2 linked regions of the Drosophila melanogaster genome follow. The protein of the gene in region 2 interacts with the protein of the main gene of each other region in a pairwise test. Each region holds a gene or a part of one and is shown on either strand. Other genes may lie near its edges.

Evidence for each region.
Region 1: the proteins of CG10903 (region 2) and Acox3 interact in a two-hybrid assay, tested with the Drosophila melanogaster proteins (one large-scale study listed by BioGRID).

The regions. Positions count from the first base shown.
Region 1 is NT_033779.5:6,436,691-6,453,036, reverse strand, and holds Acox3 (Acyl-CoA oxidase 3), read left to right. Parts: upstream 1-5,174; 5' UTR 5,175-5,187; coding exon 5,188-5,430; intron 5,431-5,601; coding exon 5,602-5,736; intron 5,737-5,796; coding exon 5,797-6,287; intron 6,288-6,363; coding exon 6,364-6,841; intron 6,842-6,905; coding exon 6,906-7,176; intron 7,177-7,240; coding exon 7,241-7,395; intron 7,396-7,459; coding exon 7,460-7,750; intron 7,751-7,807; coding exon 7,808-7,918; 3' UTR 7,919-7,967; downstream 7,968-16,346. Other genes in the region: retm (real-time), read left to right, coding at 1-915, 982-1,240, 1,301-1,419, 2,023-2,344, 2,905-3,185.
Region 2 is NT_033777.3:8,022,676-8,038,018, forward strand, and holds CG10903 (uncharacterized protein), read left to right. Parts: upstream 1-7,735; 5' UTR 7,736-7,874; intron 7,875-7,969; exon of another isoform or gene 7,970-8,115; intron 8,116-8,151; exon of another isoform or gene 8,152-8,250; 5' UTR 8,251-8,268; coding exon 8,269-8,307; intron 8,308-8,370; coding exon 8,371-8,408; intron 8,409-8,454; exon of another isoform or gene 8,455-8,470; coding exon 8,471-9,036; exon of another isoform or gene 9,037-9,106; coding exon 9,107-9,294; 3' UTR 9,295-9,470; downstream 9,471-15,343. Other genes in the region: CG2747 (uncharacterized protein), read right to left, coding at 1-216, 278-1,918, 1,978-2,394, 4,102-4,166; ImpE3 (Ecdysone-inducible gene E3), read right to left, coding at 5,829-6,806; CG11035 (uncharacterized protein), read right to left, coding at 9,537-10,232; unc-45 (uncoordinated 45), read left to right, coding at 10,927-12,205, 12,265-13,829.

The sequences.
Region 1 (16,346 bases), on a different chromosome or scaffold from region 2:
ACATGCCCGCAGATGCCCATCGTCCTGGACTGTGAGGTCATTAAGGACGAGTCCCTGGAGGACGGGGCCAAGCGAAACACGAGCCGACGCTGCAAGCTGGCGGTCGACGCGCCGTACATCTTCAAAAAGCTTATTGGCGTGGACCATGTGTACTTCCTGCAGCACAACTTCCTGGACCTGGCCAACCGCACGCTGAGCATCGAGGCGGTCAACGAGAGCTTCTCGTCGCGCATCGAAATCTTCGAGCGGTGTCGCTACTACGCCCATCCGGACAACTCCGAATGGACGTGCTTTGACCAGTCGGCCACGCTGGACATTAAGAACTTCTTCGGCTTCGAGCACTCGATGGAAAAGATGGGCATGAAGCAGTACACCCAGACGACGCTGAAGGGCAAAGAAATCATTGAGTTCTTTATCGGGCAGCTGCGCGAGGAAGGCATCACGCATGTGGAGCGTTGGACATCGCCCAGTGATGCAACCAAATCGCCAACCCTCGATCAGGCTTCGGATCAGCAGCATAGCATCTTGCTGGACGGCGACTTTATCGCACGCAGCCTGGGCCAGCTGTCGCCCATGCAGGAGTCCAAGCTGCTGGAGCTGCGAAAAATGCTGGATGGTGTCGATGACTTGGAGCGTGTGCCCAGTTATCAGACCATCCTGCGTTTCTTAGCAGCCAGGGACTGGCACGTTAGCCAGGCCTACGCCATGCTCTGCGACTCGCTTCGCTGGCGTCGGGAACATCGCATCGACGCACTGTTGGCGGAGTACTCCAAGCCAGCCGTGGTAGTGGAACACTTTCCGGGCGGCTGGCATCATTTGGACAAGGACGGTCGACCCGTTTACATTCTGCGCCTGGGACACATGGACGTCAAGGGCCTGCTAAAGTCACTGGGAATGGATGGACTACTGCGATTGGTAAGCAAGCCGGCGGAGAACTTATCGCTGAGATTACATTTTAAACAATATGCTGTCTGTCTATAGGCTTTGCACATCTGCGAGGAAGGCATTCAGAAGATCAATGAATCCGCCGAACGCCTGGAGAAGCCAGTTCTCAACTGGTCACTGCTTGTCGATCTGGAGGGTCTTTCTATGCGCCACCTCTGGCGTCCCGGCATCAAAGCCCTGCTCAACATCATCGAGACTGTGGAGCGCAATTACCCAGAGACCATGGGCCGTGTCCTAGTGGTGCGAGCGCCCAGAGTGTTTCCCATTGCATGGACAATCGTTAGTGCTTTTATTGGTGAGTCTGAACAAGCCGTCATATGGAATTGCCTGTTAACAACGCTTTGAAATCCTGCAGATGAGCACACCCGATCCAAGTTCCTGTTCTACGGCCCCGACTGTGCGCACATGAAGGATGGCCTGGCCCAGTATCTCGACGAGGAGATTGTGCCTGACTTCCTGGGCGGACCGTGCAAGGTAAGCAAGCAAGGCGGCAGCCACGACTTCCGGTAGCGCGTCTTCGGTTGGGAGCCCATTACTGCTGCATCTGTAGCAACGTACTTACTATATTATGTTATTATTGTATATGTGCGTTAACTCTCTATCCCTCTGGTTTCGGCCTTGATTCCGGCTCGCTGGGGCTGCTCAGACAGAGAACCAGCTAGTCTCGCATGTGGAGCAAGTCAGTCAGAAATACTTTAGCCATTGTTATTTAACCAAATGCGATTGTGTAAGCATCCTACTCTCTTGTTCTTTTGCTCCTGCTCTCGATTTCGTTTGTCACCATCCACAACGACAAATTGTACTGTACTCGTCCGCCTTTGTCTTACTTCCTCGTTTTTGTTTCTCACACTTTGTTCGCTGTGCGGTTCTGTTGCAAACTGTGTCAAGCCCATGTGCGCAGCTTAGCCATGACATTCCTGCTGTAATATTTCCTCCATTGTGCCCCAGCGTCCATGTCCACGTCACTTAATCTCTCTGTTCACCCGGCGGCTGTCATACATGTGCTCAGTCCAAGCCAACAGCCACGGAGCCTGCCCACCAGAAACTGCTCTAACGTATTGTCCTCTTTCCACAAAGACCATGATTCACGAGGGCGGACTGGTGCCTAAGACGTTGTACAAGATGAATTCGCTGGAGGATCACGACGACGAAGTGACCGCCGAGCTGCCCACCACTGCCGCGGCACAGGCTTTGGTTCCAGGCAAGCGCCTGTCTGCCAACCAGCAACACGATCATCGCAATCTGTACAAGAGTGTGGATCTCAAGGCCGGATTCGCGCACGAGCTGCTCATCCGGAACGAGGATCCCAAGAGTGTGCTCACCTGGGACTTCGATGTGATGCGCAACGATCTGCACTTTACGCTCTACCGGGTCACCCAGGAGCTTCCGGAAAAGAATGGTGAGTTAATAATGCACTTACAAAAGGTTTTCATGTTGCTTTTTGTTTTTCTTTTGTTCTGAGAACTGGTTTTGGTTTCAAAGGTGCGAATATCACGATGTTGTTGCCTCATTAGAAGTTGTTTTTGTTTACTTAGCACTTTTATAAAAACACAAAGCCACGATAAAAAGCGAAAAATGCGGAAAGTGGAAACTCTTACACCCTTTCGAAAAGAAAAGAAAATTTGTTGTCAGGCAACTTAAAAACAAATTAATAACGTTTGGCTTAAATTGAATAGTTTACTATTACAATTAAGTATTAAAACGTATGTTAATTTGTGTATATATTTATTTATATAAATTTCCAAGGTATCTGTTGCTAGGGCTCTATTAAATTGATAACGCGCGCATTTTGGTTCCGGTTTATTGATAGGGATTGCTTTTCATATGTGTTTTGATAATGTAGTAAAATACGAAAAAGTTGAACCTTATTTTATAAAGCTTTTTGTACTTTGAACCTTTTAATTAATTAACTTGATTAGCTTGACAGCTTACATATAATTAAATGCCCTTCGCCCACAGATTCCGCCGTCTCGTACTTTGATCTGCAGGACTTCGTCGAGGGCGTCAATTATTTCCGTGAGGAGCCAACGCTGATTTGCCGGCACAAGGAGAGCGTCCAGGGGTCGCACGTGATGCATCACAACGACAGCTATCTTATGCACTGGTTTAGTCCATCGGGTGCCCAGTTAAACGTCTTCTACGAGGTGCTCAGCTCGGCCAACTACAAGGGTTCGATGACCAGCCTGCAGTCGGCATTCTCATCGAACTCGTCGGCGGCCAGCTCGGTGCAGAGTCGATGATATGAGAAAGCCGGGGATGGCGGAACGAACGGCGCCGAATGGAGATCCCCGGCATTGGAGGAGCCCATAGCGGCGGACATTCTCACGGGCACCCTGATGGAGAAGAGCCTGAATCTATTTGAAACGCCGGACGTATTCTTTTAAGACCGAAAGTGGTAATATCTTGTGTTTTAGTTGTCTTTAGTTGTTTAGCAGAATGTTAGTTTGATTTTAAATTGTATTTAGCTCAAATAGGCCATTTATTTCCTTTTAAATTTATTATATTCATTCAATATATACAAGCATTCATATTATTGATAATCTTAAGAAAATTAGAAATATCAGCGGTTTAAATGAGCAACACCAAAATATCACGCAACGTTTTATTTGAATCGTCAATTTGAATTTTTCGTAAGCAGCTCTATAAATGAAGTTTTAATGCGTACATATATATGTAAAAGCGACGTAATTTTTATAGCTTTTTCTAATGGAACATTTTTTAGCAACAATTAAGGAACTTATTGCGATTGCGCAGCCACTGAAACGAAAATAGAAAAAATTGAAATTGTAATCAATAACTACGTGTTACCTAATTAGTTTAATAAACAAATTGCCGAAATGGCTTATTGCAAGGATTTTAGCCAGAACTTATACAAAAGAGTGAAATGTAAGATTTGAACTCGAAATACACACGTAGGTTATAGCTAGACGTCAGATTATAATTATAAATGTAAAATTGTATTTTAAACATTCGAATGCAGAACGTTTTTGATTGCACACTAATTACCCCGTCATTTGTACGCCCTTAATTGCTAATATCAATCAATCTCCAAAGTGTTTTTAAAATCAAAAAAGGCAACTTCAGTGTGTTTTTTTGGTTATTATTTATTGTATTAAAAACGAATTACTATGCGGATGTTTACAATTTAGTTTTATAAATAATCTGACGTGTATTGTAAGAATAAACTGACAAGCCAATAACGAAGGAAAAATGAGTGCATGTTAACTAAGTGTGTAAGTTGTATTAAGAACGTAATCAAATAAATGCTATTAGATCAATTACATGTACATATTCGCATTTTATTGTGGGCTCTTGAAAAAAATAAACTATTCAACAGTTTTAATTAAAATCAAATTTAGAATCCATGAAAATTGTATGGTATGGATATGGATGCTCTTTTCATATTTTAAATGTGGATTGTAATGTTTTTATATATATTGTAATGTTTTTATATAACAAAATAGATAAAATTAGACCAGCAAATGACTCGTTTCTGATAGAAAGAATATTCAAATTACGCGCCAGACCTACTATTCCAGCCCTGGCTACCTTGAGAAGGTCTGGCAACGCCCCCGCTAAAACATTTTGTGAAAACATTGAATTGTGATATTAAAGAAAATTAAACATGAAATTTATGTATATTATGTATAATAATTAAATAATTATATTATATAATAATTAACAGAATTTAAAAAACTTCACATTTTGTATTTATATAACACCGTTCTTTCTCATGGCTTAAGTCACGTCAAACTATGTTATCTTCAATGGTGAAAAACTGGGTTAAAATTGTTTGTTTATCGCGCTTGTTGTTGGCTGATGGCTGATAGGAAATTAAAGCAATGTTTGTGGCCGCTAAAAGATTCGAATTTCGCAGGCAGCACCCACCACCACCTGCACGGGCCGCCCTAATCCCGCATTCTCCTAGGGCCCGTATCTTATCCGCGGCGGATGCAAACCACTAAAAGGCTACTTGGCCATGAAGTGCGGATAAGCGGATTCCTTCTTATCGCCGCTGGCCATTGGACATTGGCTATTTTACCAATAATAGTTACGAGTGCCTGGACTTTCAAGCATTTCGCGCCTAGCATTCGAAGCAGCCAGACCAGTCGCTAGAATCGAACTCCAACATGGTTGCATTGAGCACAAAGTAAGTACCCCTGCCCCACAGCCCCATCGCCTCGACTGACGACCACAACGTCCACCAATCCAACATTCCAACAAGAGCCAGTTCTCTGGGCAATGGCGAGCGGAGTAGGCGATGGCGATGGTGGTGACCAAAACGGTCTGAACTCATTACTAACCGCACTGGGCGACTATTACAGCGGCCGCCGGGAGGAGAAGGCTGCAGCCAACATCTACGATGACAAACGGATCTTTCCCGACTTCCGTAGCGGACCTTTGGAAGAGTACCGTGAGCGGGCTAGCTTCTGCTACAAGCGCATGAACGTGGTGCTCGAGGGCGAGGATCACATACGGCTGAAGGTTCGTTACCATTTCCAGTTTGTTACATATGTACATGGTCAGCGGGGTCGAAGTGCAGACTGCCTCGATAGCTTTTGTCGGAGCTGCAGGCCGCCAACCGCCCGGTCTAATCGTCGCCCGTTTCTTATCTGCACACTTGAGTAATTCGTTTACATGTCACTCCGTCTTTAGCACAAGGTGTGGCAATGGATGGAACAGCACCCCGACTACCAGCGGGAGCCAGGATCCGATTTGGAACGCACCCGCGAAATGGCCAACAAGCGGCAGCATCTTCTGTGGGAGCAACAGTTCTACGGCGTCAACGAGGTAGGATGCGTTGCGTACTCCTGAAAGTGTGGCTGCCTAAATCTCCTGTCTTTCTTTCAGTATCTTGGAACCCCACATCTTCTGCTTGCTTTCGGACAGGCCATCTTTAGCTACGATTTCAGCACTTCGGTCAAGTTCGGCCTTTCAACTGGCATGTTCCCCAGCACGCTGGTCTCCAACGGATCTGGCCGCCTGGGCAAGTACGTGGCCAAGATCGCGGACAACCGCATTTTGGGCGCCTACGCTCTCACTGAGATTTCTCACGGCACCAACGCGCTCGGCATGCGCACCCGTGCCACCTACGATGTGAAAAGGCAGGAGTTTATCATCCACACGCCAGACTTCGAGGCGGCCAAGTGTTGGGTCGGTAATCTAGGCAAGACTTGCACGCACGCAATCGTCTACGCCCAGCTGTACGTGCCGGATGACAAGCACCAGGGCCTGCAGGCCTTCCTTGTTCCCATTCGGGACGAGCGTACATTGCTTCCATTCCCCGGCGTAACCGTCGGCGATATGGGCGAAAAGATCGGTCTCAATGGCATTGATAACGGGCAAGTACTTTCTTCTATCAGTTGATAAAACTAATCAACAGCAACAGAAATAATTTCGATTTGTTTGGCATTGCAGATTTGTGATGTTCAACCAGTATCGTATCCCTAAGGCAAATCTGCTGTCCAAGACCGGTGACATCGATGCGCAGGGAAACTACACCAGTAAAATTAAGGACGAGCGTAAGCGCCTTGGCGCCTCCTTGGGTGCCCTCTCCGTGGGTCGCGTCAATATCACTGCTATCACGTATGTGGCCTTGAGCAAGGCTGTGACAATTGCCACTCGCTATGCGGCCAGCAGACGCCAGTTTGGCCCTACCAACAGCCCGGCGGAGTGGCCCGTGATCGAGTATCAGTCACAGCAATACCGACTAATTCCCCACTTGGCCACCACAATCGCCTTGCGGGTGGCCACACTCTGGATAGGCAAAGAGAACGTGGATTTGACCATGAAGGGCTTCACTGGCGAGGACACGTCGCAAGCGGGCATGGAGATCCATGCGATCTCATCGGCACTCAAACCAGTTGCCACTTGGGCTGCCAGGGATGGCATCCAGGTATGAATGCTTTATATATGTATATAACCACTTTTACTTATCGGTTATATTGTTTTAATCTCAGGAATGCCGCGAGGCCTGTGGCGGTCATGGCTATCTTAAATCTTCTGGCTTGGGCGAACTTCGCAACGACAACGATGCCAACTGCACCTATGAGGGCGAGAACAACACGCTCATCCAGCAAGCGTCCAATTGGTTGATCAGTCTGCAACGCAACAATGCCGACTTCGTGGCAGTTTCCCCATTGGAGACAGTCTCCTTCCTGAAGGATATGGACACAATTCTGCAAAGCAAGGGTCAGGAGCGAACTCCTGCCGAAGTTTTGGATCCGCTCAGTGAGTATTTCTTAGTTATCCAAATATAAGATAGGAATAACGCAATTTTATTGCACTTCTATAGATCTACTTAATGCCCTCAACTGGCTTACCGTCTGGCAACTGGATACGACGGTGAAACGAGTTGAGGAACAGCAGCGCGAAGGAAAGGATGCCTTTGAGACGAGGAACAACATCCAGGTCTTTGCCGCCCAGAAGCTCTCCATTATCTACGGCGAGGTGAGATGCCAACCCTCTAAACCCCAACTAAATAGTAAAATAACCAAGTTTAATATTCTTTTAGCGCACCATCTACTACGTGTTTTATAAGTTTGTAATTGGTCTGCCCGACTCTGCTGAGAAGAAGGTACTGCAGCAGGTGCTCTCCTTCTATGGCGCCCACTTGGTCACAAAGTACTCCGCTGCTTTCTACCGCGGTGGTTACTTCCGCGAAAACTCTAACCAACTGGAGCTGTACGAACAGGGCATTCTGGCTCTGCTTCCCCTGCTGAAGAACGAAGCCATTGCTCTGGTGGATGCCATTGCTCCCACAGACTTTATTCTAAACTCTCCTCTGGGCATGAGCGATGGAAACGTAAGTGGTCTACCATAAGCAACTGCTACTCTTACTAAAGATTCTATCCTTTCGCAGGTCTACCAGCATCTGCAGCGCACGCTTGTCTCCACTCCAGGTGTCTACGAGCGTCCTCATTGGTGGCGTGATGTTACCTACAAGGATTACCTTAAGCGCGCCAAATTGTAGACTCACTGTAAAATCCCAAATAAGAAGACTTTACTCGTTGAGTTTTTGTAAGAAACTGATTTTATTTGGAAATATCTTCGGTTTAAATAGGTGACATGAGAATCGCATCTTAAAGTAAATGGCCTACGCAGAGGCCTAAGTAAATAGTCCCCGCCTTATCGAGGTCCCACGCTCGGGCACATCTGCCTATCTTGAGCGGCGAGGACCTTATCTGTGGTCTCCCACTAAGGGACTATTTTAGGAGGCGGGGAACGATCTCAAGTGACTGACTCATGTAGTGTGCACTTAAATTACATGTTTTTGAGCAATGCACCCATGTCGCCTTAGATAACAAAATCCTAAATATAATTTATCGCTCTCGATTCATTTACATAAGATATGAACGGAGCCCAAAATTGTAAGTCTTTAAATATATTCGTGTTCATGTGTGAACATTCTGCCAAAGGGCCAGCAAGCTGAGATGTACATTAGTATATTAGTTGCATTTATAACAGTAGTGGACTGTATTTATTTGATATATGTTCATTTATTTTGCAACTAAGATTTCAATGGGCCTAGTTTTTCTGGCTTTTAATTTTATTGGATTACAATTATGGTTTATATTATTTTTAATTCAACAATTTGTACTCAATTAACTTATTTTAAACATTTTGCTTTTTCTATGTAGAAGTACATTTTCTATTAAACAACGATATAGTGGACTGTATATTTTTATTTGTTATATTATTTTATTGTTTATTTACTATTGATATTTATAGTACTGGCAACGGACCTGCAAAGGTTATTGCTTGCATTCTTTGTTGCACAGCACATTTCCGTATGAAATATATTATTAATACTATCATTAGTATTAAAGCAATAATTAATCCAGCATGTCCGGAAATATGATGGAAATGTAAATCTTTCAATTTTTGATGGTTCTCTTTCATAAATTTAATTTCATTATTCAATCGTTCAAATTCCTCAGTATGATTTAATATTGATAGTTTCAGCGGATCCCAAATAATCTTCGGCGCTTCACTAATTTCTCCTATATAAGGTGTTGATAATAATTCTTCACTTTCGGACTGAATGTTATGGTGGGCAACTAGAATTTTATCGTCGGTTCTTGCCGTACAATATGGCGCAATGCTTAAAACTCCTTGCTGAGGCAAATCAAACAATTCAATTTGAGAGCCAGTACATTGCAGACGGACTTTTGAATTCGCAGGAACCTTAAACAACCAACTACTTTTCTTTTCTAACTCTACCCAGTAACTTTTAGAGTCGACTACTGTTTTATAGATGCAGTTCGCCGCTTTATCTGGCTTTAGAGGCTGAATCTCACATGCATTATCATTCGCTGAATTCCAGGGCCAACTTCCTTTGCATATTCTCTTATTTAGTTGCCATTTCTGACATTGATTTAATGTGGCTTCCGTCATTATGTGATAGGAATCTATCTCAAAATTATAAATTAAATATTCGGACGTTGTATGCACCATTATTATCCGATCTTCATTTCGAATTGGCACCGGAATAAGCCTGAACAATTTGGATGGATGCCTGCTAAACAGAGGCACTTTTGCACTAATGATCAATTTATCGTCGATGAATAAACCCCTGGCTGTTAACAGTGTATACACTTCCTTAAGTTCCGTACCTGACCGTTTTCCTGGAATTACTAGGTTCTCCGAAAGACTCTGCTGAATTTTGGCAATTTCTTTTTTAAGCTGATTTGGCCTGAGAATATTTGTATTTAGCCTACCGTGATTAATATCAATCAACAGGCTTATAATGCCTGCTTGAATTTTTTCGCCTTCTTCAATCAATGAGTGTAGCTGTTTCGTAATCATAAAGAATTTTATTGATTCCTTATAAACATAATAATTTTCTTTAAGAACTTCTGTCATGTTCTCAATTCTTATTTGCATACTTCTAAAATTGGAGTTAACATCTTCTGTTGTTCTCTTTAATAGATTAGAAGTTGAATCAACCACAGATGTTTGTTTTTGAATTAGTTTATCAAGGTTGTTCTGGTTATCTAACAAATTCTTCATATTTTCTTCTAATTGCTCTCTATCATCTTCATCCATTATACCAAATAAAATATGATACAAGGAACCCATAAATTCGAAAGGAGCACGCTTGCTTCTAGATCTAGACTGTATCATAAACAATTTATTGTTTTCTTCAAGTTCCGATAACTGACTTTGCATATTATCTAAGACTAGACTACATTGCTCTTCAAAGCTATGAAGTCTTTCGCAAACTTTCCTCATACTTTGTATAAGCGCATTACCCTTTGTTAACATTTTAAAATATGGATCCATTTTATAATAGATAACCAAATTCCAAGAAGTACTCACAATCTCAACATCTCCTAGCGGGTCTAGATATATTGCTGAGGTTTTATTTATTTTGTCTATAGAATATCTTGGTGCTATATCTTTAGGTAATGCGCTAGAAACTTGACAACTTAACACAAACAACAACATTGCCATAATGATTCCGATCTTGGACATTCCCGATGTCGCTCTAGTTCGTCTTTTTGGCTCTTGGTCAGCCTCATTTTTGTCAACAGACTTTATTCCTTCCAAGGGACAAATTTTAGTAATGGGTCTAGTGATATATCCTTCCTGCATCTTTACTTTAGCCACTCGGACCTTATCATCATTCCCCTTATGCACCTTTTCCACCTTTCCTAAAGGCCATCTTGCAGGATGACAATTCTCATCCTTTAATAAAACTATTTGCCCTTCTTCTATATTAGGAATTTCCTTTTTCCATTTATTCCTTTGCTGGAGCGTATGCAAATATTCACTTTTCCACTTAACCCAGAAATCTTTCTTCATTTTTTGGATAAGTCTCCACCTATCCAAATTTCCGATTTTTTCATCTTCCATTGGTTCGACTATTTCTAAAGGTGGTCTTCCAATTAAAAAATGACCTGGTGTTAAAACTTCTTGTTGGTCCTTCTCACTAACTATAGTGTATAATGGCCTTGAATTTAAGCATGCTTCTATTTGACATAAAAGAGTTGACATTTCTTCGTAAGTCAAAATAGTGTCGCCGATTATACGCTTTAAATGGTATTTCATTGACTTAACTCCAGCTTCCCAAATACCTCCGAAGTGAGGTCCTGCCGGGGGAATAAAATGCCAATCAATCCTGTCCTTTTCAAGCTGCGCTGCAATCGTTATATTTTCTTGTATTGCATTAAATAACTCTTGATCTAATTTTCTTGCAGCTCCTACAAAATTTGTTCCGTTGTCTGAATAGATATTGGAACATTTTCCCCGTCTAGCAATAAATCTTCTGAGTGCTGCTAAAAATGCGTCTGAAGTTAGATCGCTTACCATTTCTAAGTGTATGGCTTTGGTGGCCATGCAAACGAATACAGCAACGTATCCTTTAAATGTTTTTTGGCCACGATTTTTTGAACATTTAACATAATAAGGACCTGCGTAATCTATTCCAGTATTAAGAAACGGGAATGTCATCGTCACTCTATATTTTGGCAAGTTACCCATTATTTGCTGAGCTGTATTTTGTTTATACCTTGCACACGTTACACATTCTCTTAAATACTTTTTCAACGAATTTTTCAACCCGAAAATCCAATACTTTCTTTGGATATAGTTTCGCATTAGGTTTATCCCTCCATGCAATGTTTCCTTATGAGCATTTTTTATTAATAAGCTTGTTAGGTGGCATTTTTCTAAAATGATTGGATGTTTAACATTAAATTCTGCATTGGAATTTTGCAATCTTCCTCCAACTCTTAGAACCCCATCCTTGTCCAAAAATGGATTCAATGACAATATTTTATTATTTGTCTTGATTTCCTTTTTGATTTTAAGGCACTTTATCTCTTGCCTAAACTGGTATTCTTGTTGTTTCTTAATAACAACTGTTTCCGCTATTCTTATCTCCTTTACTGAAATAATTGATGAATAGGCTTTATTTCTTGTTTTCATCTGCACGAATCTATTTATGTATGCTATTATACGTATAAGTTTTTCTATACTGGAATACCTTTCTATTAATTCGTAAATAGGATCATCTATTTTGTCATTTAATACCGTATTTATTAAGACAGGTTCTTCTACAGACTGCTGCCGAGGCCAAAGTTCTTTTGGGTCTGCTAGCCATTTCGGACCTTTCCACCAAAAATCACAGTTGATCAACTGGTTAGAATCCACTCCCCTGGATGCTAAATCTGCTGGATTATCCTCTGACTTAACATGATTCCATTCAGTATTTTTTAATTTCCGAATGTCATCCGTTCTTCTTTTTATAAATTTGATCTTACTTTGACCACTGTTAATCCATGCTAAGGTAATCGTGGAATCACTCCAAGCATAGATCTCCATTATATTGTCAATTGATCCTTTTAGTCTTTGGATTAATTCACTAAGCAGGTGAGCTGCACACAGCTCGAGTTTGGGAATTGTCTTCCTATTTTTTATAGGGTTGACTCTACTTTTGCTAGCTATTATATTAACATGAGGTCCTACTTTAGCATAGACTACTGCAGCATATGCTTTTTCGGAGGCGTCCGCAAATCCGTGAATCTGAATGACTGAAGAACTGTTTGAATTAATCCACCTTGGGATTCGAATATTCTCTAACAATAATAAATTTTCTTTATATTTTTCCCAATAATTTTTATCTTCTATGGATAATTCCTGATCCCATTCACTTTTATTTATCCAAAGTTTTTGAATAAAAAGTTTTCCTGAAACCGTGACTGGTGCCAACCATCCTAACGGATCAAATATTTTTGCTAGCGTTGATAACACAACGCGCTTATTTATATTTTTTGATTCATCATTACAATTTACGCTGAACTTAAATAAATCCTTTTGAGGTTCCCATTTTAGTCCTAAAGTTTTAACACATTCATTTTCGATAATATTGAGAACCTTATTGTCCCCTGTGTCCTCCACAGTGGTTAATATTTTGGAATTGTTGGAAATCCATTTCCTTAAGTTGAATCCAACTTTCTGCAATTCATGGGGAATTAATGTTATTAATTTATTAGCTTCTTCTACCGAATCAGCTCCAGTCATTAGGTCATCCATATAGAAATCATTCCTAATTATTGCACTAATAACTTGGTTTTTACATTTATCTGCAATATCTACCAGAACCCTGGTAGCCAAATATGGTGCAGATGCAGTTCCGTAAGTGACTGTGGTTAATTTATATGTTTTAATTTTTTCTTTTGGAGAATTTCTCCATAAAATATATTGATATTTTTGATCATTATTATCTATTTTAATTTGTCGGTACATCTTTTCAATGTCTGCCGAAACAACAAATTCCCATTTTCTCCATTTAATAATAATGTCAAAAATATCTTTTTGAACTCGTGGCCCAACCCACATTATGTCGTTCAAACTTTTGTTATTCGTAGTTTTTGCTGAAGCATCAAAAACTACTCTCAATTTGGTCGTAAGGCTTGAATCTCTAATCACTGCCTGGTGCGGTAAAAAATATTTGCCTTCATCACTCACTTCAATCATGTGTCCTAAATCCATGTATTCATTCATGAATTTAGTGTAGTCAACCTTAAGTTTTTCATTTCTTTTTAGTTTTTTCTCCAGATTCATGTAACGAGCTATCGCTTGTTTCTTTGAATCTCCTAAGGTGACATCCTCCTTGAATGGAATTGACACAATGTATCGCCCATCTGAATCTTTTTTTTGTCGTTTTGATAAATTTATTTTCACAGATTTCAGACTCGATATCATCTTTTTCTTCTTCTTCCACTTCCCAGTAGCGATCTAACTCTTTTATTTCTATTGTTGTGGCTACAATGGTTTCTTTTCCTTTGGATTTTTTACATCCAGAAACTATCCACCCGAAATCAGTTTTTTGCCCAAGGAGACCGTCTATTTTTATAACTCCATTTTGCAGAATGTGAGTATATACGTCTGCTCCAATGATTAAATCAATGCGACCCGGTTTATTAAAATCGGGGTCGGCTAATTTAAAGTTCTTCCATTTTTTCTGATCAACATTAATCGTGTTGACTGGAAGTGCCTTCATAAGTTTTGGGAGAATAATTGCTTCAATTTCTAAATTTTTCGGAGAATTTCTTATCGAAATAACCGCTTTGTGCTTGGAGATGCACGTTCCTGTGGAAGATACTCCACTTATTTCAGTATGAGACCGAAATTTTTTCAATTTTAGAATCTGTGCAGACTCTTCTGAAATAATTGTGCTTTGAGAGCCACTATCAATCAATGCTCTTAATTGTTCAAAGCCTCCATACCTCGACTTTACTTGAATCAAGGCCGTGGCCAACAAGGCTTGACCTGTTGTTCTACACGTATTCACTTTTTCTGGATTATGACCTGCAAAGTGAAGTAACGTGTGGTGAGGTTTACGACAAGTCGAACAAAGCTGCTCGCTTATACATTTTTTACCAAACGGATGCCTCAGACATCTTAGGCAAATCCCATTTTTTCTTACCCAGTCAGACCGTTCTGCTGGATTCATTATTTTAAATTTATGGCATTGAATTAAATAATGCCCTGGTAGTTTGCAATATGCACAATTGTCACTATAATTTTTATTCTTGTTATTATTAATCATTTTCTTTACAGGTTTTACTTCCTGTGAGAATGATGATATAGAATTGAGCCTTTGCTCTAAAAAGTCCATGACATCAGAAAGTGCCTGTATTTCTTTTGTCTTTTTAACATGGCTTTCATATAAATTGAGTGATTCTTTATTGAATTTCCGAAGAATTATGTGAGCGAAAATTGCATCCACATCTTCTGGTAATTGTGCCTTTAATTTTATAATATAAATTGACTCGTTAATCGTGTCAATAAATGTCTTTATTTGCTTATTGGATTCTAAATTTAAATTTGGCATATCCATAAGCCTATTCATATGATCTGAGAATATGTTTCTTTTATTCTCATATCGCTTGGTCAAAAACTCCCAAGTGGCTTCATAATTTTCTCCAGAGCCGAGCAGTAAATGAGTAACCACATTTCTGGCTTCTCCTTTTAATGCTGACTTTAGATAATTAAATTTGAGAGAAGGACTGAGATCCTCTCTCACATGTATGAGCTCTGTAAAGAGTTCATTAAAAAGATCCCATTCTTTGGAATCACCAAAGAAGGTGGGAATCTGTATTTTAGGCAGGGTTGGTAACTCCTCCGCCTTAACAACCGTCGACATTTCAGCTTTATTTATTGTGCCACTGAGTCGACTATTAATGGCTGTAAGAATATTTTGTTTGTCAAATTCAAGTTCGCTAATTTCTTCTTCGAATAGCGAACTCTCAAAATGACTATTCACCTGTTCAATCAGGTTATCTATTTTATGCCATAAAAATTCAATTTTATTTTTCCTTATTTTAAGGAAATCTGGACTACTGTCTATTAGTTTAGACGTATCTTCTAGATATACTCGAAATTGGCCAACATTATTACGAAATGCCTGCTCTACTTTTAAAGCGTTGTTTTGTGCTATACCCTCTTTTTCAGGGTGACCACGCATTTCAAGGTTTAATGTAGGGGGAGGGTTTGATTTAGGGACAGTGTTTGATTTAGGGAAAGTGTTTTCTACCGACTCGCCCTTAATTTTTTCATTTTTATTTTTAATTTTTTCTAACACCATCATTATTAAATCATACTGCTTCGCGTTAAAATATTCATGATCGACAACGCCGATCTTTAACAAATTGCTATGATTAGCAATGAAACATTTTTGAAGCTCATTTAATTTTCGATTTTCTACATCTGTTAATGTTGGTTTTACTTCCAACTTTCTAATTTCCAAAATAATTTCGGACTGCTTCTTAAGGAATTGAATAGTCTTTTCTGACATCATTTTGAAAATTTTTTGTAATTTCTTAATATATATAGTACGTGTATATGTATTTTATATGTATTTATATATATATGTGTGTTTGGATAAACAGAAAATTCTTGTTTTGACTTAGCTGATGTTGTTGTTGTTGCTGCTGCTGTTGCTGCTGTTGTTGCTGCTGTTGCTACTGCTGTTGCTGCTTCTGCTGCTGCTGTTGTTGCTGCTTCTGCTGCTGGTAGAGGCTCCTTTGAATTTGACTTCCTTCTCTTCTTTAAGGCTCCGTCGATGTTTAAAGATGATTTTTTTTTTTTTGCACGTTTTATTATTTTTGTAGTCCAGTCAGATTTTTTGTTTTTTAGCCATTTATTTCGGCATTTATGCTCTTTTGGCATATACACTGCACTCTATTTATGAGCTGATTTAATGCTATTAGAGCATTTATAAGGCACTGTTTTCAGGCACTTTTTATTTAATTTATGCTCTTATGGCATATACACTGCACTCTATTTATGAGCTGATTTAATGCTATTAGAGCATTTATAAGGCACTTTTGTTATGCACTTTTTAATTTCACAATTGCTGATGTATGGCCTCAAGCACGCCTTACCACAAT
Region 2 (15,343 bases):
TCATCACCATGACAAAGCGTCCGCAACAATGAGTTTGTAGTGTTGGCCGCGTTATCCGAAAGAGTAAACTCCGAGACGAGCATGCGAAGAAGATGGGTATAGGAGGCCTCTAGCGCATTAGCAGGCAGCAGCGTCAGCGTTTCAAAGAGACGAAGCCGCACCATAGCTGCCGGTGCCTTTAGCTGGGTTCCATAGCTCTTTAGGACAGATGCCAAGCTGGAAAAGAAAGGATTCAATTAGCATGACAGATAAGCTGAATATTAAAGATGAATCTCACTTGACCAACATGGCCAGGGCGCTTTCGATGGGGGTGAGTAGTCGTCTGGTTATGTCTTCGTTCAGGAGATCCGGGCAATTAAGCAGGAAGCTGTGCATTACAGAAAGAGCTCCAGCTCTGCCCTCTAGGGTCACCTGCCAGGTAAAGGCATCGCCGCGCGCCTTTTCCGATTCAAGCTCTTTGTTGGACCGCGGGAAAGAGTTCCGCCACAGTAGCAGCATTCGCGGCAGCAAGCCCTTGACTACCGGCGATCCCAAAGTCATTATAGCTCCAATTAATAGCCAGCCGGCCTGGGTACGGTGCAGCGACATGCGGCTATTCTGGGAAGCAGATCGCAGCAGTTCCTCCGCACAGTTGAACACGACCTTTCCCTTTGTGTGGGGTATGCCCAATGGCGAGTACCGAACGCTTCCCAAAATTGCCGCCAAAGCGCAGCTATATCCGGCCATTGCTTCTGGCGAGGATCGCATCTGCTCGATGGCCTCCACAAAGCGATCAATTAGTGGCGTGATTTGCCCAGGAACCGCCACACAAGCGCATCGTAAGCACCAAGCGGCAGCCAAACGGGCAGCGGCGCAGGGATGTACCAATACGGCACAGGTAGCATCGATCGCTTGCAGGGATTGATCTCCCAACAAGTTCTGGGCCGTGGTTCCTAATCCAATAAGTAGAGAACTCAATTCCTGGAGGGCACACACCAGCAGGTGCTGACTGAACAGTGTTTCTTGATTAGAATCCTTGGCGTTCTCGGGATTGAAGTCAATTGAGTTCATCTGTTTGGCTACCAGATGGACCAGTTCCTTGCAGGCAGCGCTCTGCGCCTTCTCGCCTAGCATCTTTCCAATCGTTGATCGGAGTATAAAGCTAATGCATTTCCGTGAATACACTGCATCTACGTGGGAGCACGCTGCCTTTGGATTGGCCACGAGATCCAAAACGTGTGCCAGAAATGTGCTTAACTGTCGTTCCAACCAAACGCTGCCCATGAATTGCACGAAAACCACGTATGCATGCGTTACACCCACTCGCACCTCACGGTTGACACCTGAGCTGCCTTTGATAATCTCTCCGGTACCCTTGAGAAAAGATGCGCCACCACGAAGGAAACCTGACATGAGAATGCCCAGAGCTTCATCCAGGGAAACCAAGCGTTGGGTAGCTCCCTTGCCCGCTTGAATAGCCACCGCTTGTCCCTGTTTCTTTTTGCTTGTTGCCGCTTCTGCCAGTTGTTGAGTATAGGCTAGAAGTGTTCCCAGCAGCTGAGCTACCGCACATCGCACTTCATAGTTGCTGCCGTCGAAGGCTCGGAAACACAATGTTCCCAAGCTTTCCAGCTCCGTTTGGTACAGGAATGGTGCACTGTATATCATTTTAAGGATGCAGCGGGCTGCAGCCACTCGAACAGCCATAACTCGGTCCAACAGGCAATGCTTGGCCGCCTTGTAAATATCCTTGTGCACGTTGGCAATGGCTGTGCCCATGCCAGCGCTCACCTTCTCCAGCGTGTGCATGATCTCAATCCGCGCCTGCGACTCAGCGTTGCGAAGCGTTCGAATAAGGATCTGCACCGTATCCTCGTAGGTGCGGCCCATCATCCTGCCCAGCTTCTCATACATAGAGCCCAGCACACAAATGGCGGCACTAGGGATAAAAGAGACTCAGTTTCGATTTTTATATTTTTATAAATGCAATTTACTCACAGCTTTGTGGGCAAGTAGCTGGGCGAGTCGTCCTTGTTCTTCAGGATGTCATTGCAGGCGTTGACGGTGTCGAAGAGCATGAAGGTGTCACCAACGGAGAATAGCGTGGCCAACGCGCTAGCAATGAGCTTACGAATGGGCGGACCTGGTGCGCCCTGGATTCTTTCAGAGAGCTGCTGCACCAGCTTCTTCTGGCTCGCCTTGATCTCCGCTTTGGACACCAGTGGCAGGGCCTTCTCCAAGTAGCGCAGCCATTCCAACTCGAACACAGGCCGCTTGTGTTCGGGCAACTGCTTGAGAGCATCCTCATTAAGGATCAAAGTGTGGGCCAGCTCCATTTCGGATATAGCCTCCTCCTCAGTTTCCGAGCGTCCCCTTGTCGATGAGGCGGAAAAATGGTCGCTGTTTATAAACGATCTGCAGAGCAAGCGAGAAAAAAAAACAATATAAATTGCGGAATGTTTCATCAATTAAACGCAACATATGGTTGATGATTGTGTTCGCTACGAATCGGTCGGCCTTTGACCTTGCCATTTGAGTCTACTAGTACGGACAGCTGCATTATCGATTACAATTTGTTGATCACATTTCAAAATTTGTTATTTTTTTACTATTTAAGTGGTATACTAAACTTTTATATCCATTAAATTTATAGATCAATGTCTAACAAATATATAATGTATATACGTGCGTAAGTATGCCACTTGAAAAAAAAAAAAACATTGGTTTTGCCAATCCATATTTATAAAGTTGTAAAATAGATAAAAAATTGTCAAGAAAACGACTTCATTAAATATAACTATTAAGAAGATGACCTTTTTTTATTTATAACAGAAACGTTGGAAATTGTGTCCGCTTAACAAAGCAAATATGTCTTAAAAGCTTGCCACTAATAAGTAGAGCAATCAATTTACGGAATACACATTTATGTGGATAAGGGGCCCAGCGCGGCTCTTCCCAGTGGTATTGTGTGGAAAAGTATGCATCACTCAATCTATATATACGGCGATGATGACGGTGATGAAGTCAACCCAGAAACATATTCAAATGTATCGATGCGCCGCCACGCTTCGAACGGAAACTGCACTGGTAGCGACTAGGAAGTCCACACACCCACAACCGCTCTATTTTCTTGTTTTATCCACACACCCACTCCCACTGTCACCCAGCTTTGATAAGTGCGGCAAAGAGCTGTCGCCTTGGGCTCGATAGCAGCGCCCATTGACACAGATGGCGGCAAAGTCAAGAGGAGCCAAATTATTAAATCGAAACAAAGACCTTTTCTTCGGAAAATCAAAGGGGTCCGAAGCGGCGGCGGCGGCTCTTGTCCTCGTCATTTGTGTGCTATGTGCGAAATGATGTCCGCCGGCTATGGGTAATAGGGTAAGAAAAGACAATGGGAAGGATGTTCGAGGGTGCGCTGCAATTTTAATGGTGGGGCGTTGGAGCACCATGGTGCTGGGGAAGGTCGTTTGCAGTAATTGCTTTACTGGAAACATCCAGCCATGTAAAAGTGCCCTTATTCGAAAAAGTTTCACATATTAATTCTTAGTTGACTGTACAGTAAAAGGAATATATATTGTCAACTCTAAGCTAGTTAGTTACGCAACATTTTTTCACCACCTATAGCTATTGTGAATCATTACAAAAAGAGTTATTTAGTCTTCAGCCAAATACAGACTGATTTCATACATACATACATTCAATGAGTATTTCAGTGCTATTATTTTGACCACCGCTGTGCGTACATACAAGGCGAAATAATCCTCAGGCGTGAGGACACCGAACCATTGACGTCTGCAGGCTCGAGTTACATAAGACGCCGTTGGGCTGCTGCACCGCCTCCTTTGGCGACCACTTTCCCGCCCACAAAAGGAAAACAAGTAAAACCTGTAAGGTGCAGCCCAGCTATGGAAATGAAACCAAGAAGCAGCCACGAACTGAAATCCCGGCTAGACTTGTCCTGTGCACTACGGGAACATCAGGGTGACTCGTTCGCCGGTGAGTGGTGAATTCTTTTGGGTGGTGGTGGTTGACTTTTCCACTTTCCACACACACCCCCCCCCCCCCCTCCCTCGATTAACCCACCCTCCAGCTTTGTTTTTGTTTTTTTCCCGAAATTACCTGCGCGCCTCGGAGATAACTTTGCGCAGAAATTGCGGCGTGCGTGCAAAGTTTAAGTTTTCCATTGTTGTGATTTGCTGTGTCTTCACATTTCCAGAAAACTTTCTTCGCCGTTTCTCTCGCCAATCTGCAGCAGCCTGCAACTTTCACACAAATCGATAACACTTCCACAAAAGCACTTTTAGCACACGTTTTTAACTGCTCCAATGGATTTTGTTTAATATTACTGTTTTGCTTTCAATTACACTAGGTCAATTCATTCTTGTCACTCGATGTAGCATAAGTTGCGAAAAAATAAAACCGAATTAGAGCGGATTACAGGCGCAACTCTGGAAAAGATGCAGGTCCAGACCAGATCCGCTTACACTTGCTTCGCGCACCGAGTACAAAAACAAAATGAAATGAAAGAGCGCTGGCGAGCACAAACCCACCAAGTAAAAAGTGTTCTCTCTCTCTTCATACACTTTTTAAGGATAGCATCGGTCTTGCCAAATGTTATCCAACGCCTTCGTTCGTGTTTCTTCATTTATTTTTTCCAACGAATAGAATGGAATTTTCTTTTAAAAATGAGTTTTTTTTTTAATAATAAGTTAATTTTTATTTTATTAATTTATTTATTATTATTTAATATCAAAATAACGTTTGGTAAATTAGTGTGTTCCTCCTTGCAAATATTTGCATAATATATGTCTTGAAAAAAGGCCTTTAAAAGTGTATACACAAGTCGAGTGTACGAATGTACGAACTTTAAAGTGAGAGAGCGCCAAAACAAAATAAAATCAAAGAGCGGCGCAAAGAACACGGGAAAAACACCCGCTGTGGGGCACGTTCGAGAAGAGTACAAGTGGGTGGCAAGTGCTGCCGGAAGAGAGCGGCTTGTGAGAGAGCGGGCGATGACGTCGCACGCTAGAATCGCAGCTGATTTAGCAACAATTTGCAGCCAGCACTGTTATAGACTTTTGGGCACATTAACACCGATGTCCGCACACACCCGCATTGGCGTGAACTATGTCAATGTGTCAGTTAAGTCGTTTCGCTGATTCGGCGCTCGGGTGAAGGGAAGCCCAGGTGCAGTGTCCTGCGACAATTGTCCCGCTTGCTTTGTCCTAAGAGAACACGTTTGGCGGCACTTCCGGCCGTAAAGGGTCTACCGAATGATTTAGAATCGGTCCCAAATCCAAATTCATTCAGAAAAAAGTTCTATACTTAATTTGCTTAAAAGCAGATACTGAAAAAAGGTTATTTAGGTTTTTAAAGACCAGAGAAAATAATACATAAGGCGAATAATTAACCCTACCTCGCCAGTTGCAAGTCAAATTATATTTCAGACCGCGACTCACTGATTTACTTATGTCCTAAGATTAATCAAATCTATAAGTGCCAAGGCTGATTTAACAGTTACATAATATAGTGAGAAGCACAAATCGCGTTATAGTTGCTTCGATTTTTATTTTATTGAAAATGTTAGAAACCTTGCACAAGGCCCCGATTAATCTGCAATAATAAAACAACAATGCACTACAAATTATGTATAAACAAAACTTTGTACACTGTCTAATATTTCTAAAAAATGTGCTCAAATAAATATATAAACTATTTTATCAGCTCTTGTTTCAAACTGATTTTGGGTGACTATTCCCCAAAACAAAAATTCGAATTTATCAAAGTACACACACAATTGTAAGGTCAGTAGGTCCTTCGACTTTATTGCGACTTATGCTAAGAGCTTAAGGTAAAAACTGCATGCTGGGAATAAAAGTCAATGCCTTGGAAGTGGGGCTTTTGGGATTCCCCAGATCTTTGGCGATTCCCTGCACGCGGGCCACCACGTCACTGCGCTGGATATCGCCCCGGTCCAACATCCTTTTAAATAGAGTATACAATTGCCTGGCCGCCGAAACCTGTGACAAGGCATGCAGCTCCACCAGCAGATTCTCGGAATATCCCTCGTACTTGCTCAGACTCGCCGCCTTAGCATCGCGCTTTAGCAGATCGTAAACCAGCAGGAAATCCACATAGGGCTTAGTGGGAGGAACTCTCTTTTTGCCTGCGATCGAGGCGGTGCTCCATCGATCCATCGCGGACTCAGAACCGAAAGCGGCCCTTCCGTAGTTATCGTCGTAGAGGCGCAAAAAGTTATCCAGTGACTCCACATCGTTGGTAAAGTCGTAGCGCTCGCTTTGAATATCACGGATCAAAGACAAAGGCAGGGTATCAAAGTCGCTATCATCTTTGATTTCTGCAAATAGATCGTTGCCCTCAAGGGACTTTTCCGGCGGCGCAGTTGGTGCAAAAATTGCCGGACGGTGCGGCACAGTGGGTGGCGATGTGGGTCTCTCGGTTGTGGATGATCTCTTCGGCGTTTCCCACCAACTTGGCGGCTGCCACCAGCCCATGCCACCAGATCCAGACGCACCTGCTCCAATCGGTCGCCTTGTGGTAGTGGTTCTCATCCTCGTGGGCAACGGTGTGGATGGGCGCGGATTTGCAGTGGTGGATTCCATACCTTCTTCATCCGCACTGAAAGGAGGCTCCACTGTTGTGCTTGATAGTGGCTCGTACTGCAGCAGGTCAATATAGTATGCCAAGGCCTGCATGGAGGCGGGCAGATAGCTAGTCAGTAGGTTAGCCGGCGCCACTGGATCCACTAGGTGACCCACTAGAAGCACCACCAGCATTGGACGAACCGTTAGCCCACTGCGCATTTCTCGCTTTTCTTACTTTCTTCTGGCGGGAACGGTTTACTCTGGGGGAATGGAGGCACTCAACTGAAGCGACTCTTCCCAGCAACCAGCGAGCATCTGTAGTTGGCTCTGCATCTGTCTTTGTCTCCGTATCTGTATCTGGTTTTCAAAATGGGTGACAGCGGGTTCGGCTTTAGCTTATACTCTTTCAAAAGGTATTTTAACGCGCAGAAAATATAAAAAAATCTTCAGGGTCAAACGATTACAACTAATCTGTATTGATTTTATATTAATTTGAGTATCATCACAATCTTTTATTTCTATTAATAAATGTTATTAAAGCAATACTTCTCGGTTTTCCTTTTTAAATCATTTGCCCTAATGGAATAGCGTCAATGATTTCTGAGCATACTTATAGCTTCGGTGTTGGGCTTCAACTTTTCACATGCGATTTTTTGGGGGTTTTAGCAAACTCGTTGAGTGGAGAGGCCAGCGACCGCGATCGCCGCTTGTTGCGTAAATTTTGTAACCACCGACTTTTGGCGGAGAATGTTGTTCTTGGAAAGAGTGAAAGATGTTCCGTTGCCAAAAGAACAACCAGTTTGGTCATAAATATGCAAAGTGTGCACAAACACAGGCAGAAAGCAGGCGAACCGCACATAAACCTGATTTTGGGTGCTTTATTCATTTGCAAGGAGTACAAAAGCTCTTACATTAAATTAAATGCATCTTTGGTGCAGTTTAAGAATCACTTGCAAGTGCGACACTTTGAGAGCCATTGATGACCGCTGTCGATCAAAAAAGGAGAGCAAGGGAGCCCGGCAAACAGCTGTTTGAGAAGCATTAACCTGTTGTTGTTGCTCTTGTGTTGCCGTCTAGATGAGTTTTCGCTTTTTTCGAGGAAATTGGAGCACGGTAAACGACTTAGCATAACGGGTTTCCTAAGCAAGCCGTGCCGCTGCTTTTTTAGCACAGACATAACGGCCTCACACTCGCACACCTAAACTTTTTGCACTTCCGCCTGGCCAATTAGCACTTAATAGTGTCATGTGTATTTTTTGACGCGTCAGAACCAAGACACACACACAGGTAACAATTTCACTGGCACACTCCCACACCCAAATTGGCCCCATGCAAATGGTTGCTTTGTTTTCAATTTCGACGTGCTTTCAGACTCAACTCACCGGTTCACTTCGTGCACAAACAAGTTTACAATTAAAATCACTCTCTTCACATGGTTATTGCTTTTAGTTTACTGGAAAAATTGAATTTTTCACGAATTTTCACTGCGTTGCGATACGGTTTGTGTAGGCTAGCTCGATAACTTTGGCCGATGGCGATAGTCTAAACATTTGTCTACGTTTCGATGTGAATGAGAAACAGCTGCTTGTTGATTGCACATGTGCTTATTTTTTTGTTTACCTAAACGCTCCAGAATTTCTGTGCACAACTTTGTAAATTACAGATAAATAATATAGGAAGAATGGCCAGAAGACCAGAGCATTCGGCGCCGCCAGAAATTGTGAGTATACGCCATAACGTACTGCCCATCAAGTGAACCCTCACCAATTTTTTATTCCTTTAGTTCTACAACGATGATGAGGCCAAGAAATATTCCACAAAGTGAGTAGATTAGATAGATATGTATGTATATGTTCGAACTCATAAAAACCAGAACTTTTTAGCACCCGCATCATTGAGATCCAAGTAGAAATGGCCGAACGTGCCTTGGAACTATTGGCGCTCCCGGATGATGATGAGTCTCGGTTGATTTTGGACATCGGCTGTGGTTCTGGACTCTCAGGTAGCGTTCTTGAGGACAGCGAGCACATGTGGATCGGCATAGATATTTCCAAGTCTATGCTCGATATCGCCGTGGAACGCGAGGTTGCTGGGGATGTCATTCTGGGAGACATGGGCGAGGGAATGCCCTTTAAGCCGGGCACTTTCGACGGCGCCATCTCGATCTCTGCCCTCCAATGGCTCTGCAATGCGGACAAGTCGTATCACAATCCCCACAAGCGCCTGCTGAAGTTCTTTACCACCTTGTTTTCCTGTCTGACACGCACCGCGCGAGCTGTCTTTCAATTTTATCCGGAGAACTCCGATCAGATCGAGATGGTAACCTCGCAAGCCATGAAGGCGGGATTCTACGGAGGATTGGTTGTCGACTATCCAAACTCTGCCAAGGCTAAGAAGTACTACCTGGTGCTCATGACTGGAGGATCTGCTGAGCTGCCGCAGGCTTTGGGTTAGTTTTAATAATAATAATTATAGAAAACTAATAATTACTTTCACATCATTTTTCTTTGCTTTTGTAGGCTCACCTGAAGAGGAACGTCGTGTAAACTATATAAAGAAACGTGATGCTTGCCGTGAGGCTCGGGGAAAAGCGCCAAAGAAATCCCGCGATTGGATCCTAGCCAAGAAAGAGCGTCGACGTCGCCAGGGGTTGGAAACCCGTCCTGACACAAAGTACACTGCACGCAAGCGCAGCGGCAAATTTTGAATAAAGTTGTTACATTTAAAATTAGTGACAGACCTAATCTCTAATTGCGGCTTTGTCTATATGTTTTAGATCTTGAGTCAGATTAAGGATATTACAATGCCGTTGGATGTTTATATACATATGTATAAGTCCCGCTGCTATTCATCTTAAGTAAAACGGACACATCTTTAATTCACAAAATTATATTGTTTCGAATTTAATTCATTTAACTTAAGTCTATGTACGCTGAAGACTAGAGAATTCTAAGATTGCTTCCCGACTAGTTTTTGTTCTCGCTCTTCTTGATCGCGTCTGTATCGTTCCTTCGCTTTCTGCTTGGGAGTGTCGTAGGAGCTTTCGGCGAGGAACATCAGGTATACGGCCACTCCGGCAAAGATAAAGGCCAGCAGGACCATGTCAGTCTGGCCTGATATTCTGTTGGTCTCCCTTTGCACTTTTATTCGATCGTATTTGGCCTGGGCGGCTTGTCTCCGGTCAAATGATTTACCATAGTGATTTCGCGACCACTCGTCGAAGTCATAGATGGGCGTACGGCCCGCAGAATCAGATACACGCGATTTCTGAAATCGCGACTTGTAAAACTTAGTCTCCGCATCGTCCTCGACTACGGGTTCCGCTACATCGTGGACATCTTGGGCATATTGGGCGCCTGCCGTATGTACGATTCCCTTGTCGTAAAGTCGACGCAGCCGGTAATTTCCCAGAATCTCATAAGCCTGATTGATCTCCCGAAATTTCTTGGCTGCGTTCTCACTTCCTTGGTTCCTGTCCGGATGATAAAGCATCGAGAGCTTATAGTAAGCTGCCTTGATCTCGTTCTGCGTGCACTGACGCCTGATTCCCAGTGCGTCGTAGTGGCTCATCTGGTGGCGTTGACTGAGGTAGAGGCCACGCAGCAGAAGCAGAGGTCGCCACAACATTGGGCTGTGCTGGTACATCTTGGATGTGTTCTTTCGCCCGCTTCACTTGTTTTGGTTTCGTTATATCACATGAAAATTAAAAACAAATCGAATCAGCTGTTTGAACTTGAACTTGTTCACCCTCGCCATCGTTGTTATCGATAGATCGATAGTATTCTGAACCAATGGTGCAGGTACAGCAAAAAATTAGCTGAAAGAGGAAAAAGAGCTTGTAATTGATTAATTTATAAAAGATAGATTTTGAAAATATTTACAGAATAAATGATTTTCAAAAAAGTTTTTACAGATATATCAGAAAAATATTTGTAATCCCTGGCTTAGTTAAAAATTTAAGACTTTAGTAAAGTTGAAATTCGTCAGCTGTTTGGGCTATGATGAAAAAAGCAAAACGTAAGCTCCACGGTTCCAGTCAGCTGTTTGGCCGATTCGCTGCGAATGGCAACTGTTGCAACTATTTTGGTTTGAGTCTTCTCAATTTTTATTTATATATAGAACAGGGCAGCAGCCGGTTCAATAGTCTCACGCAGCGTGCTTGATTTTCCCGCTAAACGCCTGCAACTGTATCTGTGTGTATTCGAGAGCGATCGAGAAGTTTCTGGTGGTCGAAATTTAGGCCAGAAGGCACAAAACCGAACTGAATAGTGAGTCATCCGTTAACAATAAAAAGTTGCAGCTACAGTTTTTGTCTTTTTATACAGAAAATTGTGTAACCATGACAAACACCATCAACAGCGAGGAAGTGTCCGACGCAGGAAGCTACAAAGATAAGGGCAACGAGGCGTTCAAGGCCTCCCGCTGGGAGGAGGCAGTGGAGCACTATGGCAAAGCCATTAAGGCGGGCTCTAAGCACAAGGAGCTGGCGGTTTTCTATAAGAATCGTGCTGCCGCTTATCTGAAGCTAGGAAAGTATGAAAATGCGGTAGAGGACTGCACTGAATCTTTGAAAGCGGCTCCGGGGGATCCCAAGGCACTGTTCCGTAGGGCTCAGGCGTACGAAGCTCTGGAGAAGTTCGAAGAGGCCTACAAAGACGCAACCGCTTTGTTTAAAGCGGATCCCGGCAACAAAACCGTACAGCCCATGCTCCAGAGGCTTCATGTCGTCGTGGAAGAGCGCTCTGCCCGTAATGCCAAGACATCCACAAAAGTCAAGCAGATGATGGATCTTACTTTTGATTTGGCCACGCCCATCGATAAGCGTCGCGCGGCAGCCAATAACCTAGTAGTTTTGGCCAAAGAGCAGACTGGCGCTGAACTGCTTTACAAGGACCACTGCATCGCCAAAGTGGCCTCACTAACAAAGGTGGAAAAGGATCAGGACATTTATGTGAATATGGTGCATTTGGTGGCTGCTCTTTGCGAAAATAGCGTCGAGCGTACAAAGGGCGTTTTAACTGAACTCGGAGTACCGTGGTTCATGAGGGTTCTCGACCAAAAACACGAGAACTGTGTGTCCACCGCCCAGTTTTGCCTACAAACAATATTGAACGCATTGTCTGGGCTTAAGAACAAACCCGATTCGAAGCCGGAGAAGGAGCTGTGCACTAGGAACAACCGGGAAATTGACACTCTCCTAACATGCCTAGTTTATAGTATCACGGATCGCACGATTTCTGGAGCAGCTAGGGATGGCGTTATTGAGCTTATAACCAGGAATGTCCACTACACAGCTCTAGAATGGGCCGAACGCCTGGTTGAGATCAGGGGACTGTGCCGTCTGCTGGATGTGTGCTCCGAACTGGAGGATTATAAGTACGAGAGTGCAATGGATATCACAGGCTCATCATCCACAATTGCATCCGTTTGTCTGGCCCGGATATATGAGAACATGTACTACGATGAAGCTAAGGCACGGTTCACGGACCAGATCGACGAATACATTAAGGACAAGCTTTTGGCGCCTGATATGGAATCCAAGGTGCGGGTCACCGTTGCGATTACTGCCCTGCTTAACGGTCCATTGGATGTGGGCAATCAGGTTGTGGCCAGAGAAGGTGAGTTCTGTTATTGGATTTAGAAAATGGTACTTAATTAATGGTGAAATTTGTAACAGGAATACTGCAGATGATTCTAGCAATGGCTACGACCGACGATGAGTTGCAGCAGCGAGTATCATGTGAGTGCCTAATCGCCGCTTCCTCTAAAAAGGACAAGGCCAAGGCTCTTTGTGAGCAGGGAGTAGATATTTTAAAGCGGCTCTACCACTCCAAGAACGATGGTATTAGAGTACGCGCCCTGGTGGGTCTTTGCAAGCTGGGTAGCTACGGCGGTCAGGACGCGGCCATCCGACCATTTGGCGATGGAGCTGCCCTTAAGCTGGCGGAGGCATGCCGTCGGTTTTTGATCAAACCTGGAAAGGATAAGGATATCCGTCGTTGGGCTGCCGATGGTCTGGCTTATTTAACACTGGATGCTGAATGTAAGGAGAAGCTCATTGAGGATAAGGCTTCCATTCACGCTTTAATGGATTTGGCCCGCGGAGGAAATCAGTCCTGTCTCTATGGTGTGGTCACTACTTTTGTGAATCTGTGCAATGCGTATGAGAAGCAGGAGATGTTGCCTGAGATGATAGAACTTGCCAAGTTTGCTAAGCAACACATACCGGAGGAGCACGAGCTGGACGACGTAGATTTCATCAATAAGCGTATTACTGTGCTGGCAAATGAGGGCATAACAACTGCTCTTTGTGCACTGGCGAAAACTGAAAGCCACAATTCACAGGAGCTGATTGCCAGGGTTTTGAATGCGGTTTGTGGACTGAAAGAGTTGCGAGGAAAAGTGGTTCAAGAAGGCGGCGTTAAGGCGCTGCTTCGTATGGCGCTTGAGGGAACTGAGAAAGGAAAACGCCATGCTACCCAGGCGTTGGCTAGGATTGGCATAACCATTAATCCGGAAGTATCTTTCAGTGGCCAGCGATCGCTTGATGTAATCCGTCCTTTGTTGAACCTTTTGCAACAGGACTGCACAGCGCTGGAGAATTTTGAGTCGCTAATGGCACTCACCAATCTAGCCAGCATGAACGAGAGCGTGCGCCAGAGGATTATCAAGGAGCAGGGGGTCTCCAAGATAGAGTATTATCTGATGGAGGACCATCTGTACCTGACTCGTGCAGCTGCCCAGTGTCTGTGTAATCTGGTTATGAGTGAGGATGTCATTAAAATGTTCGAGGGCAATAACGACCGAGTGAAGTTCTTGGCGCTTCTCTGCGAGGATGAGGACGAGGAGACCGCAACAGCTTGTGCCGGAGCTCTGGCCATTATTACTTCAGTGTCTGTCAAGTGCTGTGAGAAGATCTTGGCCATCGCCAGCTGGCTGGACATTCTGCACACTCTGATCGCCAATCCCAGTCCGGCGGTCCAGCATCGAGGCATTGTGATTATTCTAAACATGATCAATGCTGGAGAGGAGATCGCCAAAAAGCTGTTTGAAACGGACATTATGGAACTGCTGAGCGGTTTGGGGCAGCTGCCCGATGACACGCGTGCCAAGGCCCGAGAGGTGGCCACCCAGTGCCTGGCGGCGGCGGAGCGTTATAGGATCATCGAGCGGTCCGACAACGCGGAAATCCCCGATGTGTTTGCCGAAAATTCGAAAATATCTGAGATTATCGATGATTAAGCGAAATTCGTTTGTAGTGCCTTTTGTTTTTCCTCCATTTCATCTTCTTTACTTTACTCACAGTGTCATCGCGAAATTTAACTTATTTTTCAAAATATCAAATGTACTTAACTGTTTTATAAATATTGTTCGAATTTATTTCGTTTTTAAAGGTAGTTTGTTTTATTCCTTAGTGGGTAATATAATATATTATTTAGTTATTTCATGAATACGCGATTTTTTAATTTAACTAATTTAATACAGACCAAGCCTAATCCAAGCCTAATTGCTGCGGCCTAATGTGATTTGGATTGTAATATGGATGGCCACTAGGATGGCCTAGTGTTTTCCCACCGACTCCATTTTCCCCGGTGCACTGCCTCGGTACGTTTTCTATTCATTGCCACACATTAGTCGCCAGCTCGAGGTAGCTGACTTCCTCTAATGCAGAAGATGCTTCTGATGCGGCAGTGTTGCAGTGTCAGGTAGCCGGGAATTCCGAGCCGAGCATCTCTTCCAGCTGATTGCTCAATCTCAATGAAGTGTGATTAAATAAATAATAGTTGCTTTAATTTAGTTTGGCTCAGCGCAGTGGGAAATGGCCGAGGGTTTCGGTTGCTATGATTCGGTTGCCATGACTTAACGGCATTTATTCCGAAATCCATCCCGCTTTTTGTCTTTGGCCATTTGGCATTCCTTTTCCCGCGATTATTTCGCATTTTCCTCTTCTCCTTAAACCATATACTGTGCTCAATTTGACCAATATAAATAACGTGGTTAGAAGGTAAAGTAATGAGGAAGATGAATTCTTCAGGACCCTTATATGCTAAAGGGATATAAGCTGAAATAAAATATGTTGATGTAAGACCCCAGAAGGAAACAAACTAATGCTTGGCAATATATTTAAAAAATTGGTGTATAAAAACAATTAAGTTAGGGGAATAAACATTTTAAAAAATGGTAAAAAAAGACATTTTAAAAAATGTAAAAAGGATATTTCCGTGGAAATATATTAGCAAATTGAAATTCATTTCTATAGCGTTGTTTAATATTGAAAATCGAGTTTTTCGGCTACTTCATAATAAATGTACACTCTTCTTCCATTTGAGAAATCGATAATAAAGAAAATAATCCCAGACTTAATCCCCAAGAAGCAGAAACTTTCGGTTTCGGTTGTATTTACTTTTTCGGCATTGGTCAAAATGAGACATTTTGTCCTAATTACACAGACGACAGACACAGACCGTGTGGCAAAGAGTTTGCTAAGACTGTGGATCGGAAGCACTGGCTTAGAGCTTCATCGGCTTGATTGGCGACGTACATATGTGCATCTTCACTTTCCATTTAATCTCGGTTTGGTGGCGCGGTGCGGTTCAGTGTGGTGCAACACAGTTGGTGCCGCCCAATTTGTCCCGTGGAAATCGAAAGCCGATTTTCATGTCAATATTTTTGTTTAATAAACTGGCCGACTCGAGTCGTCTGCGCATGCGGAAAATATGCAAATTACCCCCCCCCAGGCGATGCGGCGCAACAAA